Linked DNA regions of Schizosaccharomyces pombe. The protein of the gene in region 3 binds, or shares a complex with, the protein of the main gene of each other region. Each region holds a gene or a part of one and is shown on either strand. Other genes may lie near its edges.

The links. Proteins that work in one complex are often made in the same cells at the same time.
Region 1: rpa34 (region 3) and rpa43 share a complex: the UniProt entries of both Schizosaccharomyces pombe proteins name them as parts of the RNA polymerase I (Pol I) complex.
Region 2: rpa34 (region 3) and rpa2 share a complex: the UniProt entries of both Schizosaccharomyces pombe proteins name them as parts of the RNA polymerase I (Pol I) complex.

What each region holds. Positions count from the first base shown.
Region 1 is NC_003423.3:3,999,798-4,003,380, forward strand, and holds rpa43 (DNA-directed RNA polymerase I complex subunit Rpa43), read right to left. Parts: upstream 1,447-3,583; 5' UTR 1,434-1,446; coding exon 1,166-1,433; exon of another isoform or gene 1,060-1,165; coding exon 861-1,059; exon of another isoform or gene 795-860; coding exon 740-794; 3' UTR 670-739; downstream 1-669. Other genes in the region: mnh1 (protein mago nashi), read right to left, coding at 2,081-2,227, 2,297-2,384, 2,427-2,490, 2,542-2,595, 2,668-2,694, 2,747-2,784, 2,831-2,856; ESCRT II complex subunit Vps36, read left to right, coding at 3,515-3,583. UniProt on the Schizosaccharomyces pombe protein: DNA-dependent RNA polymerase catalyzes the transcription of DNA into RNA using the four ribonucleoside triphosphates as substrates. Component of RNA polymerase I which synthesizes ribosomal RNA precursors.
Region 2 is NC_003423.3:2,005,793-2,012,624, reverse strand, and holds rpa2 (DNA-directed RNA polymerase I complex subunit Rpa2), read right to left. Parts: upstream 4,540-6,832; 5' UTR 4,507-4,539; coding exon 982-4,506; 3' UTR 670-981; downstream 1-669. Other genes in the region: mtm1 (Mn(2+) ion transporter), read right to left, coding at 5,650-6,657. UniProt on the Schizosaccharomyces pombe protein: DNA-dependent RNA polymerase catalyzes the transcription of DNA into RNA using the four ribonucleoside triphosphates as substrates. Second largest core component of RNA polymerase I which synthesizes ribosomal RNA precursors.
Region 3 is NC_003423.3:1,760,191-1,767,234, reverse strand, and holds rpa34 (DNA-directed RNA polymerase I complex subunit Rpa34), read right to left. Parts: upstream 3,542-7,044; 5' UTR 3,484-3,541; coding exon 2,728-3,483; coding exon of another isoform or gene 2,682-2,727; 3' UTR 2,615-2,681; downstream 1-2,614. Other genes in the region: karyopherin Mtr10, read right to left, coding at 1-934, 986-1,084; Sm snRNP core protein Sme1, read left to right, coding at 2,102-2,140, 2,178-2,267, 2,377-2,452, 2,682-2,731; TRAPP complex subunit Trs20, read right to left, coding at 4,213-4,391, 4,461-4,522, 4,583-4,665, 4,713-4,799; mRNA turnover and ribosome assembly protein Mrt4, read right to left, coding at 5,443-6,051, 6,387-6,503; actin cortical patch component End3, read left to right, coding at 6,856-7,003. UniProt on the Schizosaccharomyces pombe protein: DNA-dependent RNA polymerase catalyzes the transcription of DNA into RNA using the four ribonucleoside triphosphates as substrates. Component of RNA polymerase I which synthesizes ribosomal RNA precursors.

The sequences.
Region 1 (3,583 bases), 2.2 Mb from region 3:
TCACATTTCAAATTGCAATTTTTAAAAGAATAACTACAATAATTACTCAGTAGCAATGATCAAAACCGGGCAGTACGGAGATCAGTGTTAATTAGCGTATCTAAATTGTCTGAAATTATTTATTGCACTCTAAAGTGATCAAATTAATTCATATTGCTTAATGATCAATTTGAGATAATTGAAAAAATTTTATTATTGATGTTATTATTAAAATACAGAAAAACAAACGTGGTAATAAAACTTAAGCTTATTTGTCTAAGCATTGATGTGTTATAAGTAGATCTCGATTTATTTAAAGAAGATATTAATCCTTCACCTGACGTATTAAATCAAATAGTGCTTTTTGAAGATTTTAACCAATTATTTTGTCAATAAATTGCAGGCTAACTGGCTGTCCATAAGTTATATTAAACTGTCGAATTTATAAATAAATAGTTCCAAACGCTTGGGTTGTGGAAAGCATTCAATGTCTATATGCAACAAATTGAAAATGAGAGTATCACTAGATGAAATCAAAAGTCTAGAAAAAAGATAACTATGAATTATCATTCATTTCATTCCTTAAGCTTAAATCAACAATTGCCTACTTTTATAAAATCATACAATTGAAAGTACATACACACCGCTTCAAAATAACTTACTGTTTAGTTTTAGCGCGATTCTATAAACCGGAATTTCTTAGGCAAATATCCATAATCATAAGTAACCAATCCTTTTGTATTTTGAATATAAATACTTATTATGAATTTGCTAGCGTCCCTTGAACCATAGTCAACCCAGCTTCTCTTTGTATACTAGATTAACTGTTAGTCATAATTTAATCAAACTTTAGTTAAAACAGTATATAGTTTACGACATACCCATCTACTACAAACTCCAAATCTTTACCAGGCTCCAGAATATTTCCATCATTTGTCTTCCAACGACCTTGTTCTTCCGTAGTATCGGGCTCAATAAAAATCCAATCTTTAGGTATAGATTTTCGCGGAATAGATGCATTAAAAATACCCAAAATTAATAGACCAATATGACTTGGACTGACTAAATTAATTTTTCCTTCTAGTGATAGTTAGCATTTATTTTGGAGTTGGTATAAAATTTTGCACGACTGAATTATCATGATACAAATCCATCATAGAATCTCGAATTTCTAAGCATTTCATACCTAAACAATCGCCTTTTTTGGGAGAAAATACTAAAACGTCTACACGGACCCATATAAAGGAGAATGGGGAGTCATACATGACCTTTGCACTTTTTTCCAGGAATCGAATATTGTCGTACGCCAACACTATTCCATTGATTCTTGGGAGTTTGCTAAGAATCATACTATCCATATGCTCCTGAATAGCATTTAAAGGATCCCTGCTGTGTCCAGGAGCAATGGAAAGGTATAAATCTACAGTCTGTTTGTAGAGTGATAAATCCGGCATGTTGGCGGAACGCAAATTTCCTTCATCGACTGCATCCAGTTTTACAGATATGTTCAAGGGTAAACAAAGCTCTTCAATTGATCAACCAAGGTCATATATAACATATCATGTCTTCGAGAAAGGTTAACAGCTAAATAGGCGATACTATGGCATCAATAGAAATGCCAATTCTGTAAATGACACCATGTCACTACAGTGCTCAAGACATTGAAATTTTTTTTTTAATTACAATAAGAAATACTTTACCTTTTTTTTCTCTTATTTAAATGAAGAATATTATTGAGACAAAATAAGTGAATCGCTCATTACTATACAAATAGTGTCTATTTAATATAGCTAAAATTATTTCAAGATTTTTTTGATATCTTATTGAAAAAAAGATTTTGTAACGCGACTACCATGGAATGGTTGCCATATTCTAAGATGTTCCCAAATAAATAGTCAATTCTTAACCGCTTATGATATGGAATTAAAAGTGCAATACGGTTAATTTAGCATAAAAACTGAAATTCCTTCCTAAAGCTCGAACGTTTTTCAGCTTTGAGACTGTACATTTAGAAACGAAACAAAGGTAATCAAACCCAAATAGTAAACCAATGTTTCACATAAAACTTTTTCGCCCTAATATATAAGAAAATGGAATGCATCTAGTTTTTAACAGGTCGGAGCTTAAAATTTAGGGAGATGAGACTAAAGCACAATGCTTTTAAATCTTGAATTAGGTAGTAGAAAACTTTTAGCCCTTCTGGATCATCACTATTTTGAACGTCTGCCAAACTTCCAAGTTTACAGGTCTAGTAGTTTATATTAGCTTAAAAGTATCTAGAATGAATATATTTATGCCAAATGAAGAGCAATCTTACTTCAAACATGATGTGTTTTCCATTCATACGAATTTCAAGTTCCTGCTTACCATCTTTATTTTCAGGTGGCCAACTTTCATCTGATTCTCTAAATAGTAGTTAGTATAAAAAATTGAAAGAAATGACTTGCTTTATGATCTCACTGTCATCTACAATACGTTGAACTTCTTTTAAAACAAGCTCACTGACGAACACTTTAAGGCTTTGTTAATACGATCGAACAGAAATGTAGTACTAAAACATACTCTCCTTTCGGATTAACGAATCGTTCCGATAGTTAGAATTGTTTGCGTATCTAGCTAATTGAATTAGTATTCATGTCAAACCACTGTTGCTAATATGAATCAGAAAATTGTTGACTCTATTCATACCTAGCCCATCACTATGATAATCGAATTCTAGCAAATGTTTGGTTAGCTGCGCGACCTTGCGTCTAATATTATCGCGTACCCAAGAACTCGTGTCCGAATCGACCATGGTGTCCCGAGCTTCAGTCAGTTAGCATTCAAAACTATTTACAGCTTTTTTGCATACTAGTATCGAACATAAAAATCACTCATTTTCGAGCAAATAGGAATATGATGGCTTCGATGACTACTGCTGAGAGGTAAACTCTTGGTCAAAGATACGAAGCATATAGTGATTCACTATTTTAAATAACACAATACACTAGTGCATCCAATTTTTGGAGCTCGACAATCAAAGTTCGTGGGTAATTCAATATACAGTGTATCTTTGATGAATTCGTTGACATTATATATTGACTGCTAAGTCTATATCTGTAAATCAAAGTCTTTTAATTCCTTAAAGGCTTTTTCCAAATTCAGGTTAAATCTTGACAAGTTATTTTTCTGGGACCTTTTAACGTTCCACGACTTATTTCACTGCATTTACAAAAGTTATTCTGGCACTGTTGCATCTTTTATCGCTAGTTTGTGATCCTTGGGTTGTTTTTTATTAAGACTACGGTTTGATTTTTTTATTGTAACATATTAAATCGAGCTTTTGACAGGCTTCATTTATGTTATTTATATATCGACATTCACAGCTGTCATCCAAAAATATTTTTTTTAAAGGTAGCTAAATAAAGCGAAAGTCGTACTCACAGATTATCTCAAATCAATTGTTGGTCTCGACTAGTTAACCAAGGCACATGACATGTTATATAAGTTTTAATTCACTTGACAATTATCATTTTGGTTAATCTCTCCTTCTAATATGGCCTTTTATTTAGAAACAACCCCTTCTAATCTACCGGTTTTGGATCCTTCAGAAGAAATTTTGCTA
Region 2 (6,832 bases), 240 kb from region 3:
TTTAACGATACATAGAATTACGGTGAGTTTCTCTTACGACTTACAATATAGCGGTATGCAGTATGTTAACTAACAATGTATATTTATTGTTATATGAAGTCTATTAATATCGGTTGCCGAAATAGCGTTACAGCCGAACCTCGTTCCTCAGTTCAGTTATGAGCTATATTAGTGATAGGTAACATTATAACCCAGTTAATACAATACCTATACTCAGTTGCTACTCATACAACCTGTGTATTGTAATATAATAGATCACAAGGAAAACTCACCGCAGTTCTACGTATCCTTAAATCAGATACCAAACTGCGTAGCTTACACACTATACTAAATATCGGTTATCTAATATAGTATAATGAAGCACAAAATACAATTTAGCGTGGGTTTCTGTAATTCGTCATTATGCTGCTCTTAAATGTGAACCATGCGAATAGGTATTTTTTATAATTGAGTGCATAGATTTTCTGTAGTTGAGCTGTTCTTAAAATTATAAGATATCAATTCTCTTTTCTCCATACGAATGTGTGCTCACGAATTTGCATCAGATCTCAACCTCTGATTAATCTGCTTCTTTGAACATTCGATCACTCTTTGGTATCAAGTATCTATTAACCAATATATAATACAATTTAAAGCAAAAAGACATCTAATAATAAACTTTTTCTTGTCAATTATGTCTTAGCCGCTTCTTAATCAAAAAGATAAAAATCAATCAATTTATTATTAGTCCACCTAGACCTACCTTTATAGTTTTCTATATAAGTTTTTTTATTAACTCTTCCCCCAAAACAATAAGTAATTTTATATGCAAAACGTAATCCGAAGCAAAAATCAGAAACCTGTTGCGAAAGAAAACAGAATCAAATGGAACTGAAAATACACACATCACCCATGGCATTTTGTCAGTCCTTTTAAAAAAATTTTTTTTAAAGAAGTTGAAAGCGAATATATTAATTTCAATACTCTTTTCAACACTTTAATCTATTTAACTTCAAGCATCATTTTAATATTCATAGCAGTAAGTTCCGCCGTCAAGTAATTGAAAACACTGGGTAATGCGATCAACGTAGTATTTGTGCCGCCGACAAATTTCTTTCCGCTACCATCCTGCCAAATGTCACTGGTATCTTCCAATCCCAAAGCGGGTTTGGCACAGCTTCTGCACCTGACTTCTGAGGCACTTCCTACGCCATTCATCGAAATTGTAGACATGATAGAAATAATAGACCCACAATCTCGACAAACCCAGCTCTGGGCATAATCAGAACAATTCATTAAACGATCCTGCATCAAGAACGATGTGCCATGACCGATAACAGCATCACGTTCCATTTCACCGAAACGAATACCACCAGCACGTTTGCGACCTTTGACGGGTTGACGAGTAAGATTATGAATGGGTCCGGTTGTACGTACTTGAAATTTATCACTAACCATATGGCGAAGACGTTGATAGTAGACAACTCCAATATAAATATCAGCCTTCATCTCCTGTCCTGTGATACCACTATACATAGGCTCGTTTCCATGATAGTTGTAACCAGCCTTAACCAATTGTTCGCCAAAGTAGTCAGCAGCAGTTTGCTGCTCAGAATAGATAAAGGGTGTGCTGTCTTGAGCCAAGCCATGGCAGGCGCCAGCTTTACCAGCTAAACTTTCAATAAACATACCAATTGTCATACGAGAGGGGAACGCATGAGGATTAATAATGATATCAGGTTGCATTCCGCTTTCTGTAAACGGCATATCGACAGTGGGCCACTTTTGTGAACAAATACCCTTTTGTCCATGTCTAGAGGAAAATTTGTCACCAATAATCGGACTACGGGTAATACGAAGCTTAACATGAATTTGCTGACACTCGGAATCACCAACATCATTACCAAGGAGTCTAACTTCGTCAACAAAACCAGGCTCAGTACCGTGATAGGTTTCAATAAAATTTTGACCAGTAGATTCATCATAGTAAGCGACAATGGGATCTCCATCCTCAAGTTTAATTCCAATAAAAGGTAACCCGTCGGCGTCTAACTTTTGCAACCATTCGCGACGAGGCGTTGAACCGGGAGCAAAACCAAAATGGTGAACGACTGGTTCACCTCTGCGACGCTTTTGGGAAAGGTCAAAAGATTCACCCTTATATACAGTACCATAACCAAAACCACGCTCATGAGCAGATTTATTCAAAATCATAGCATCTTCCATATCGTAACCAGTGTATGAGATAACGGCAACAACAGCGTTTGTACCATTTGGATAATGATCGAGGCCATAGGTATTGTGAAGCTTAGGACGAACAACTGGTGTTTGTCCTGTTTGAAGACGATAAAGTTTGTTGTCAGTACGATAACGAAGGGCCGTACCAGGCGTACCCATAGTTTGTTTACCCATCTGACATTGATACATGTTACGAGGAGACTGGTTAAAGTCTGAGAATGGAGTCATATTGGCAACGATGGAGAGTACATTTGTGGGCGAATACTCTACATGAGTAGAAACTTTAGGAACGATTTCTTTAGGGAAACATGCAATATCCATGTAAACTTGCTCAAATGGACCAAGCATATCAAGTTCACCAGTAGAAATGTGCTTAACCGGTCGAACCATCCTTGCAGGATTGCTAAACAGATAAAGACCTGGATATTGCCCGTTATGAGACGGAGGCACATATCCAATTTCCAAATCTAAAGGGACCTTAGCAGGTTCAGTGGCAGTTCCATTACGCAACTTGACAGCATATTCAATTTTCATTAAACGTAGCACATCAGCAACGTGCTTAGCAAGTTTGTAAGTACACCAACCAACAATCTTTCCATCCAATTGTACGCATCCCCAACCAGATTCATGACCAACTACACTTGGAGGATCAACACCCAACGATAGCAAAAGTGATGGGATTTGACTTACATCAGAAGGATGGGTGACAATTTCACATTTTCTAGCCAAATGGTTTAAAAGACCACATGGAGAACCATCGGGTGTGTGAACTGGACACATGAAACCCCAAGCTTCAGGAAGCAATTTACGGACAGTAGTAGTTTTAAGCTCAGCAAAAAATGCACCACGGTGTACCATTCGAAAATGTGAAAGAAAGCGGTAGAAGTTCAACTTCTCGGCGACAACAGTGTAACCTGTAGCTTGTTGTAAATCAAGACCAGTATTGGAAACAAGGTTACCGGTACTCAAGAAATATTGTAATTTCGTTCCGATGTCATTGTTAATTTTAGAAAAGACACGGGTCAAGTATTTACGATCGGAGAAATCAACACCAGGCGCTGAGCGTCGAACATCCAAATTAATTTGAGCGCGGATGCTATTTAGCCAATCCTCAATCTTCTCCTTAAGAATTTGACCATAAAGAAAACCACCTAATAAAATTTCCTGATGTTGTGGAGAGTCAGGGTTATCGGCACAGCACTCTCCAGCTACAAGTGCATATAACTTGCGGATCATAAATAGGAGAAGGCGGAATTTATCCTTAGCTTCACGAAGGTGAACTAAAACAACCTTTTGTAAGAGAAAGCGGCCAACTTCAACATCAGTTAGGTCTTCAGCAACGCCGAGAACAACACGAAATTTGCTACCCAAATACTGAAGTGTTTCAGTTTGGGAGTAAAGACCATAGGACTTATAAGCTCTAAGCATAAGCTCAACACGATCCGTCAAGAAAGTATTTCCCAAATCTTTACCAACAATGCCCTCAAAAATTTCTTTATCGCTGGTTTCTAACAGGGCCTTAAGAATCATCATCGAAGGAATTAAATATTCGTTTTTACGCCAGTGAAAACGAAACATCGTAACACCATTGTTAAGATAATGAAGGGTGTTGGTTAAACTAGACTGGTCTGGACGGACACAACGAATAGATAAACCATACTGTGAGTAGCTAGTACCACGATTGGCAAAAGAAGGGCGAATGATGGCAGTAGGATGATTGCGCTTAGGTAAAATTAACATACGAATCAACTTCTCAATACCGTTAACGATAAAGTAACCGCCCATCTCTTCGCTCTCCTCTTTATGAGCAATAAGTTCGGCAGGAGACAATCCTTCCAGATGACATCTGTTGGACCGTACCATGATGGGAATCATGCCTACTTCACGCATTTCTGATTGTCTAGGGCCTCCATTGACACTCCATGAGAATTTAAGAACCAATCTTGATTTATAAGTAGTCAAACGCTCTCTGGCTTCAGCAGGGTAGACTTTGCGGTTAATAGAAGACCTTTCACGACTAGACAACATTGGCTTCGCAATTTGAACCTCATCAACGCGGAAGGAAATCTTATTTCCAAATTTCAATGCACCACCTTCTTCTTGTGTGATCGAGTCAAATGCACATTTCTCACCAATTTCCTTAACAGCATAGTTGAGTAGTCCGGCATTAGTAAGGGCGTTAAAGGAATCAACATGAGGTTTTACGGCCTTTTGCAAATCTGGAAAGCTCGTTCCGTCCTTGGGCGGATTTTTAAACGTCCTTTCTCGCTCTAACGTTTGGAATGACATCCCAGGTTTGCAGAGAAAATTTTGGCGGAGGACACCTGCTATATTCATACTAAATTGAGCGTTAAGCGAACACTTAACAAGCTTTAATGAAAAGCGGTAAAATGGTTTAAACATTAAGGCGCTGAAGTGCGGAATATGCAATAGTATAGCGTTGTTCATTCCACTGCCTAATTCAATTCTAATAGTAAATCGCTTTTTGGGTAGTGTTCTTGCTTGATTTTATTAATGAACGACTATCCATTGTCTTTGAAGAGTAATAGAAAAGGTAAAGTGTTATCGAAAGTGTACTCACTGTACGCTGACAGATAAGTTGGTGATCGACGCTACTAATATTTGATTTATACCGCAATTGAAGCTATAAAGAATTTGTTTATTGATATTTTAGAATGTCTCCTGCAAGTCCTTACTTGTTGCTTATCTCAGTAAATTCAAGAAGAAAAGCTTAAACACAAGTAACCATTGCCCTGTTACAGTTCATATCACCGATCAGTTGAATGAAACCTAATAAATATTTAATTTGCTTTGTCTTAGTATCTTAAAAAAAATCTTGTTAAAGGGCTTTTTTTTATCACTTTCAATATTTATTTTAGAAATAATTTCGTTATATACGATTCTAGTCTAGTCAATTCATATAAAATAAACGGATAACAAAAGCTCCCACTTTAAAAATCGCTTTCTTCAAAGATCTAAACTTTTTGGCCCGAGCTGTTTCTGCTTTTCAATAACGGAAAAGAAAAACATTGAATAAAATATATGTATCCTCAACCATTGAAAAAGCTTTTAAAAAGAACAACAATGGGTATATAATGAAAGCATTAGCTTCAATGTCTGGTAAAAACATAGCAAGCTTGTTCTACTATGGCTTTATTTTAGAGACTAATATCAGAAATTAAAAAATATTAATTTTTAGTTTCTACGCTTCGTAAATTAACCCAACCTATTTTACTTTCAAGACTCTTTCGATTTGCATTTTTGAATCCTGTATTATAGTAAACATATAGACTACAAATAGAAATGGAGTTGCGAGAGGGGAATTATCAACATAAATGGAATCCTGTAAGAAAAGAGATGAAAACATTAAACCGAAAAAAAAAGAACAAAGGTTTCATCAAGCCAACCAAAACCTGAAAATCAACGTCTAAATTAATAAGCATCAACAGACTCAGAAAAGTACTTTTTAGTTAAATGATAACTTGAAATCATGATTGCACAGGACGGTGCAACTTTAACACATCTAGGCAACGTGCCTTTCCACAAGGCCTTGGGACCACCTCGCTTCCATAAGGTTAACATAAACTGACCTCTGGTTAACGTATGTCCATGCACCTGCTTAGCAGTTTTTGATACATCGAAAGGTTGAGTTAATAGGGTTGCTAGAGTCCCACTAATTCCTCCGCTCACAAAATTGATATAGAGGTCCTTTGTAGATTGAGAGCTGGAAAATGCTTGAAGTGATGGATGCCCAAGCAGGAAGAGTCGAATTCTCTCATACGACCACCAGTAAAATGCACTGAATGGTACATCTCTCCACAACGTTACGCTGACACCGCTCCATAAATTCAGTATACCTTTTTGATGAATCATTAATTTCAATCCATCAAAGACCTCATTAGCAATCTCGCGCGCATGGCCGGGCGGATAATGGCCGCCTACTGCTTGCACTCGAGTCCTGAATAATTCTATAGGAGACACAATAGTAGCAGATATTGTGCGCGCAGATGCTCCTGCGATTGCAGCAGCAGCAGGAAAGCCCCAATCACTGTATAAGGGAAGTAATTGCTCATACCCAAGAAACTGTACAGTGTTTGCTGGCAAGAGCATTGTCAATGAAGGAACTAATCCACGCCACAAGCTTCTAACACCTTCATGCCGAGCGATCTGATAAAGTCCGGATACCGGGCCTCCTAAAGGCTTTGGAGCTGGCCTTCCCTTCCCCAATATCTTTGCTGAAGAAATGGGTTGCGTAGAAGAATATTGAGAAATAGATTCACTCTGCAAGCGGGTTTTCACAACATCTAAAGGCGTTACAGTCAGCGTTGTAATTACACTTCCTACACAAGCTGACAGCATTTTCGCTATAGGCTTCACATCGGGCTCAGCATTCACCGACAAGTCAGCTTCTACGCCTTCTGTCGCAGCTCCTATCTGCATGTATTCTCTCTGACTCTGTTTGTGTTCCTGTCATCTTCATTACGAAGCACCGTCCTTTCATCTACGAAGTCGTAGTTAAACTTCATTAAACCAAATAACGTTATGCAATGCACTATCATATATCTGGTCTGAGAGTTCTGTCTTAATAAGGTAGAAACGGCTATGGTACTTAGAA
Region 3 (7,044 bases):
ACTCTACCATTTGTTTGAGATCCCACCAAAATGCGAATGTAAATTTAATCGCTTCCAGCTCTGTATCGTTAGCTGCAACTTGAGCAATGCAGTTTACTAAAGGCAAAAAATCATTCGGCATCCTAGCAATCAAAACAACCCAAGCTTCACCAGCCTCGGCAAAAAGCCTTCCTAGTGCACGAAAAGTTTCTGGGTCATCACAGGCCGCAATAAGTTTAGGCTGAAGTTCAAGTAAACGTGGATAGAGCATCAGTATGGCATCAGTAGTTTCATCAACATCTTTAGTCTCATTAAAAAGGGCACATAGAAATTCTACAGCATCTTCTAACAGTAAGTCATCATCCAGAGAACGGAAAGCAAGTTCAATTAAGGGAGAAGCCATAACTTTATCAAGGGGAATTTCTCTCAACCAGGAAATCAAACTCGTAAGAACAAGACCAAGGTCAGCGCTCGAAGGAGATCCTGAAGCACGGACAGCATCGACATATTGCACCAGAAGCTCGAGTACTGCTGGACCGTTATCACGAAGAAGTTCATCAACACGAATACATAACTCCTCCCAACTCAATGAAGTTTTCCTTGGATCACTAGCTTCTTCAGGGAGTACTGATAAAAACTGTAAAACACATCTTCCACTGGGGTCTTTGGAGCTACAGGCTTGAAAAACATCGGCTATAACATTATGCCATTCAGTCATATGTAAAGCAATTGCAGCCATACAAACAGCCAATGATACCAATAAAGGTCTTGGACTATCTTTAGCTGCTAAAAATAACTGTAGCAAGGAATTACGAAATTCAATATGTGTTTCCTTAGGTAGCTGATGAAAATCGTATACAATTTTTTGGCGCAAAGTTTGTGCGGCAAATAACTTTGCTTCAATGCTGCTGTCATCTTGATTCAAAATTGAAAAACATATTTGCCATGCAGCAGGCTAAAAATATGCAGGTTAACATCATCCAGTTCAAATCTCTGACTGACTTACACTTTTCTGAAACTCTTCTAAGTAGTTGTTTGCTTGAAGTTTCTGCTCACGATCAGTGTTGGCATACAAAGTAGCCAAAGCACTTAACAACGTTTCCATGAGGGCATAAAAATCACTTAGATTGATTGCTTTACGCACTGGCAGCGTGTGTTTTTGTTTCGGTTCAGACCTGTAGTAGCAGTAAAAGACCTATTTAAGGAACAAGTAACTTATACCTCTTTATTACAGTATTCGGGAGGTTTTCCATGATCATTATAATAAATAGCATTCAAGGCATTATGTCTCAGTATAACGTTGATTTTTAATTTTAATACATTTGGTAGAGTAAAAACTTCAAATGTTAGAAAATAAAATTTGCTTAGGTATTCCAATTGCTATTTACATAGCTACCATAATAATATAATTCTAGCCACATAAAGTAGTTTCGCGTGCTATATTTTATATATCCGAAATACAATGTAAAGCGCATAGTAGTCTGTTTCCTAATAATACTGGCAAACATATGGATTATATAATATCTAATGTATGAAACATCCGTTTGATGCAGCTGGTAGAACCTAATTTAGAGCTGTTCAAGGATTCTGATTTCCAAATATTTATCAGATTTTGGCTATTTTCATTACAGTCTTCTTCATTTCTATTGTCAAATCTTTTTGAATCTATGGATATTAATCGTCTAAATTAATGTAATTTTTGCTGAACTTTGATAACTTGTTTATTGTTTTTTTTTAATGTCATTTTTTACTGAGTAGCTACTCACGCTAAAGTACATTTCTTGCTTTTCTCAATCATTTAAACAAGTGAATTGTCCATAAATTGTCTAATAAAAATAACAATACAATCTTGGCTGCTTTGATTGAAGTTTAGCAACCTACACTTTTGTATGTATGAAAGTCGATAAAAAATTAAAACAGCTTATTGAAGATCAAATTACATATCTAAAAAAAATAAAAAAAAAATAAAGGATCGATAAACATTGATCCATGTGGTACAAATTTATTGAAGAGGTTTTTGGTCTTGGCTAAATATCCACTAAGTCAGTGCTGACAGGCCGCCAACTGCACCATTGCACAACCATCTATAGAATTTCGTTTTTTGATAAAATAAGTTTTCAAGATGTCAGGACGCGTGCAAAAAGTTATGATACCTCCTATTGTATGGTTAATTGTTGTTGGATAGCTAACTTACGCAGAATTTCATTTTCAAATTGTTGCAACAACATACTCCTGTTTCAATTTGGCTGTTTGAACAAACAGATATAAGACTTCAGGGACAAATTAGGGTAAGAAATTTACTTTATGGAAAATCCCTTCATAGTCGTTGGCCTAGGATTTTGAAATACCTTCATTTTCCCTACGACAAGTTGATGAATTGCTAACGATATATGACAGGGCTTCGACGAATTTATGAACATTGTGCTTGACGATGCTGTGCAAGTAGATGCTAAAAATAATAAAAGGGAGTTAGGTAAGCCTGATTTTAGACGAATAAAACCTTGGTTTATGTGAAAGAATGTTCGGTGGGATTTTATTCAAAAGTCTTTACATGAAGCAAAAATAATAATAGATGCATGTCTTAAGCTGATTTACCAAATTGCGTTTCCAGCAACCTTACAAATTCTAAAACAAACCGTTGATGCAGATTTTTGTTCTAAAATATTTAACAATTTCCCAAACCAATTGCTAACATTGCTTAGGTAGAATTCTATTAAAAGGTGATAATATTACACTAATTCAAGCAATCTAATTTTTTTCCTTTTTGCTGGATTTCTTTTGCTTTTTCTTCTTAGGTTTTTCTTCCTCATCCTTCTTTTCCCTTTTTCCCTTTTTCAATTCCTTTTGCTTTTCCTTCCCTTTATTTTGTAATTCCTCTACTGTAGCATCACCAGTCTCTTGTAAAATATGTTCTTTGATGCCAGACTTGGGTTCAGCTTCAGGTTCCGATTCAGGCCCTACAGCATCTCCAATCGGGCGAAAATGCTGTCTCAGATTCTTTCTTTGAGGAACAAGTGGTGCCTGCGTAGGTATTGTAATACCAGTATCAATGTTTTGTGAAATTTTGGGGGTCTCTGTAATCACATATCCAGTTTTGATTTCATTTGACGTATAGGAACCTTGCTCGTCAGGTAAAAACACACGTACGGAGCTTGTTGATTCTTCTCGGATTTGATAGGTGTTTTCGTTCTCCTGCTTTAATTCTACTGTAGGTTTGGAGCCTACCTTTAGCTGACTTATTTGGTCAGCGGACATGCCAGGCGGAAGTCGTACTAAAAAAACATTGGACTCCTTTTTCAAGTCATTAGTGGTCAAAACAGGCTTTCCTTGCACTTTCTCTAAACCAGCAATTTCTGCAACATCTTCTTGTGCGTTCGATTCGCCGTGATTGTTGCTCTCCACGGATTGTTCAGGTTCTTTCGACGAATGCTGATCCTCTATGCTAGAAACGCTAGATTCATCTTCTGAACTTTCCTCGTTTACAAATTCACTTGATTTTGCCATATCTACGCCCCAGTAGAATTTAAAGTGAAATTTTGCAAGCGTACCTGTATTTTGCTCTGGTGAGCTTGTGGGTCACAACGTAGGTATCATCGAGCTGGATAACGATGCACAAGGTAGTATTCATATTAAAGGAACTTTTATGTGATGAAACAAAAAATAAAAAGTATGTGGTTATAGCAAGAACTCTACTTCTTAGGTAAAGAAAAAAGTTAAAATGGAGCAATCGGTTCACTACTTTATTTTTTCGGCTTAAAAAATGTTGTTTTTCTAGAAATTAATATTCCCAACATCTTTCTTTATCTAGTAGATAGGGATTTTTTTTTTTTTTTTTTAAGTTGTCTGACAATTGCTTCTGTAAGGATCGGACTACTAAGAACGGTCGCAGCTTGACGCGACCAGTTGCTTAAAGGATGTAGTATTATTTTGTGTTTATGTAAAATGGATATCAATTGTAGGAAGAAGTGAGGTACACATAACTAAAGAACGACGTATATATATGTTGTATACAGAGTGTAAACACAATGAGTCAAAATTTAAAACTGAAAAAAAAATACATATCTGCAAACATTTCCTCTTCAATGCCTCATGTATGTGGAAATTGAACAATTATCAACCTCGGCCAGCATAGGCATTGTAGATGCCTCACTCTTACAAATAAAAAGGCAAGAGAAAGATAAATGCTTTTTGGAGAGAAAGAACGTGAGGAAGAAATCAACCAACACCTTTTCATCACAGATACCTTCTAGCAATTGAACGGACCTTTAAATCAAAAGCCTGAGAACGAATAGGTTGGTTAGGTTGATAGAAAGGACTCATTAGAGTTTTGATGTATAATTCGTGGAGCTCTTGGAAAAACAGTTTAATGTTGTCAGCACTTTGGTTTTGGTGAAGAAGCATAAACCTCATATCTAAAAATAATGAACATTAGTAGTTGTCCAAAAGTCACCCCAGATATTTAAAGGGAACAAAACACTTACTAGATGGCGTAACGTAAGCAGATATATACATTTCGTGAAATTGATCGATGGTTTTCATATAACTATACAAAAACAGAGTATTAGCAATGACTGCAAGAAACAAAAGAAATCACAAAACGTACAAGGCATTGCTAGTCCATTGTAGCTGATCCACAATGTCTAAACTCGAATGAACGATAAATTGATTAAGATGAGAATTTAAAGACTAATTCAGATATTAGCGTTCTAAATCAATAGTATTATGTGACATACCCTGTCTAGTTTTTCATTTATAGGCCCCATCTCTAATTCATAAACGGGATTATCTTTCGTTCCTATAATTGCTGCATATGCTGTCATTGTGAATGTTGGTGGAAAGGAAGTGTGAAGCGCGACACAATTTTAAAATGTAATTGTGTAACGTGAATTATACATTTTAAAAAGTTTTAGAAATAATTTGGATAGCTACTAAAATGATTCCATAAAATTTAAAACATTTAAAACTAATTATATCGATTTTACCTTAAAGTACAAAATGCGGCATATCGACGGTCAAAAGAACAATCAGTTTCGTTGTTTCCATTCTTTCGTACGTTACGAAAGCAACAATTGGAGTTTGGAAATCAACTTTTAGGGCCTTCACAGCGAAAGTGAAACTAGCAAACTAACTTTACCATGTCAACGTGCTACATGACTCATTTTAAAGTGTATAAAAATATTATTCATATATTTTCATCCGCTATGGAAAAGAAATAACCAATAATCCCCCAAAAGTAAGTAAAAGAAAAGAAAGAGTACATATCTCTATGTAAATTTATCAGAGCATGAACAAAAAACCATTGTTTTAAATCCAAAGTCCGTCAACTATGCAAGCACGGTAACACAGGGCTTTCACTAATCTAGTAACCCTTCTTTTCATTTTATTTTATCCGAAAATAAAAAGCAAAAAACTTTGATAATGCAATAGTGCACGCGATGTGTCCATTTAACTGTAATATACATTTTACTCCATGGCTTCGTCTGCACCAGGTGCGGATTGAAGAAACTCAACAGAAGCACCTTTCTTTGAATAATAGCCCAAAAGCCCAACCTTAAACTCAGCAGCCGTGATTCCAAATAACTTCAGCAAACGTGTTTGACGACTGTCCAGTTGTTGACCTTCAGTACAAAGAGGGAAATCAGCTAACAACGTCACAACACCATTCTTCAAAACAGTAGGCATACCAAGTTGACGAACTTGTGGCTCTAATGTATGGGTCAACAAAATATCATCTTCGACGGGAATTTGACCAGCACGAGAATAAACAGGACCAGCAGGAATAACATGAGTAAAAGGAGCAACAGCGCCAGCGCGAGCAAAGTCGTTTTGGACGAAGGATTCAAAGTATCCAATAACTTCATCGGGCTTAGAGTTTGTGAATAATAAGCCGACGGCACCATGAAGCAATTTTGTAAGCTTGCTAACGTTCTCGGCATGTTCTTCCTCAGGCGTGTGTCCTAACGCCTTTGCCATGACCTTAGTTTTTCCCATAAAAATACGACTACCCTTCCAATCATCACGGATACGTTTTAAATATGTGTTTCTCATATTAGTGACATCAAAAATCCACATCTATTGAAAATAAACAGTTAGTAAAACAGCCATTTAAAATTTTATACGATCGAGTAGAAGGTGTAAACAGATGGGTATTTGTTAGCAGTGCTAATAAATAAGTAGATAATTGGAAAAAAAAGTATAACTTTAAAACCTCAACGAGAACTCATAATCTAAAAAGCTGTACTGTTGAATTTCAACTTCAAAGCATTTGGAAACACCTTCGTACAAAAATAGACAATTCAATCACTAAAAATAAGCATCTAAATCCATGATGCTCGTTTTTCTCATTTTGTAATCCTTCAGCACGATATTTCTGTTACAACTCCTCAACCGAGCCCATTTTCACTTACATAGTCAAACGAATCCAGCGATTGCTGTACTCCAGAGAAAAGAGCAGCCTTTCCTTCATGACCCTTTTTCTCAGTTTGAGCGAGAGTCAAAACTTTCGACCTCCTTGATTTTGGCATTTCTTCCTCTTTTCTCTGCAAAAATTGTTGTTGGCAGAGGTAACGATTTTACCATACTCTTTACAGGTATTCATTGAAAAATGCAGCGCGCTAGGCTTTGATATTTAAGGATAGAGTATTATTGTTGTGCTTAATTGCGTTTCGTAATTTTAACGGGGAAATGCCGCGCAACTTCCGAATCACATCCGGTAGTCTGTGAGCTTACCGTAAACAAGACACGTAGTATGAGCAAACATTGGAAAAAGGTAAAAGAAAGGTCAATATACTGAGTTCTTTTACTTTTCCACTGGCCGTACACGATTCAGGAGAATTAGATATTTTAGGGTATTAAAATTTACTAGAACTCGACATAATGGATCCCCAAGAGAAAAATAAGTATTGGGAAATTTTTCGCGGCTTGAATCCAGAAAATGGCTATTTATCAGGATCCAAAGCTGCTGGAGTCCTCCGTAGTAGTAAGCTTTCAAGCGATAAATTGGAAAAAATTTGGGATTTAGCAGGTACGGAAAACATGAGTTTGCGGTCTGAGTCGTTTAATCGA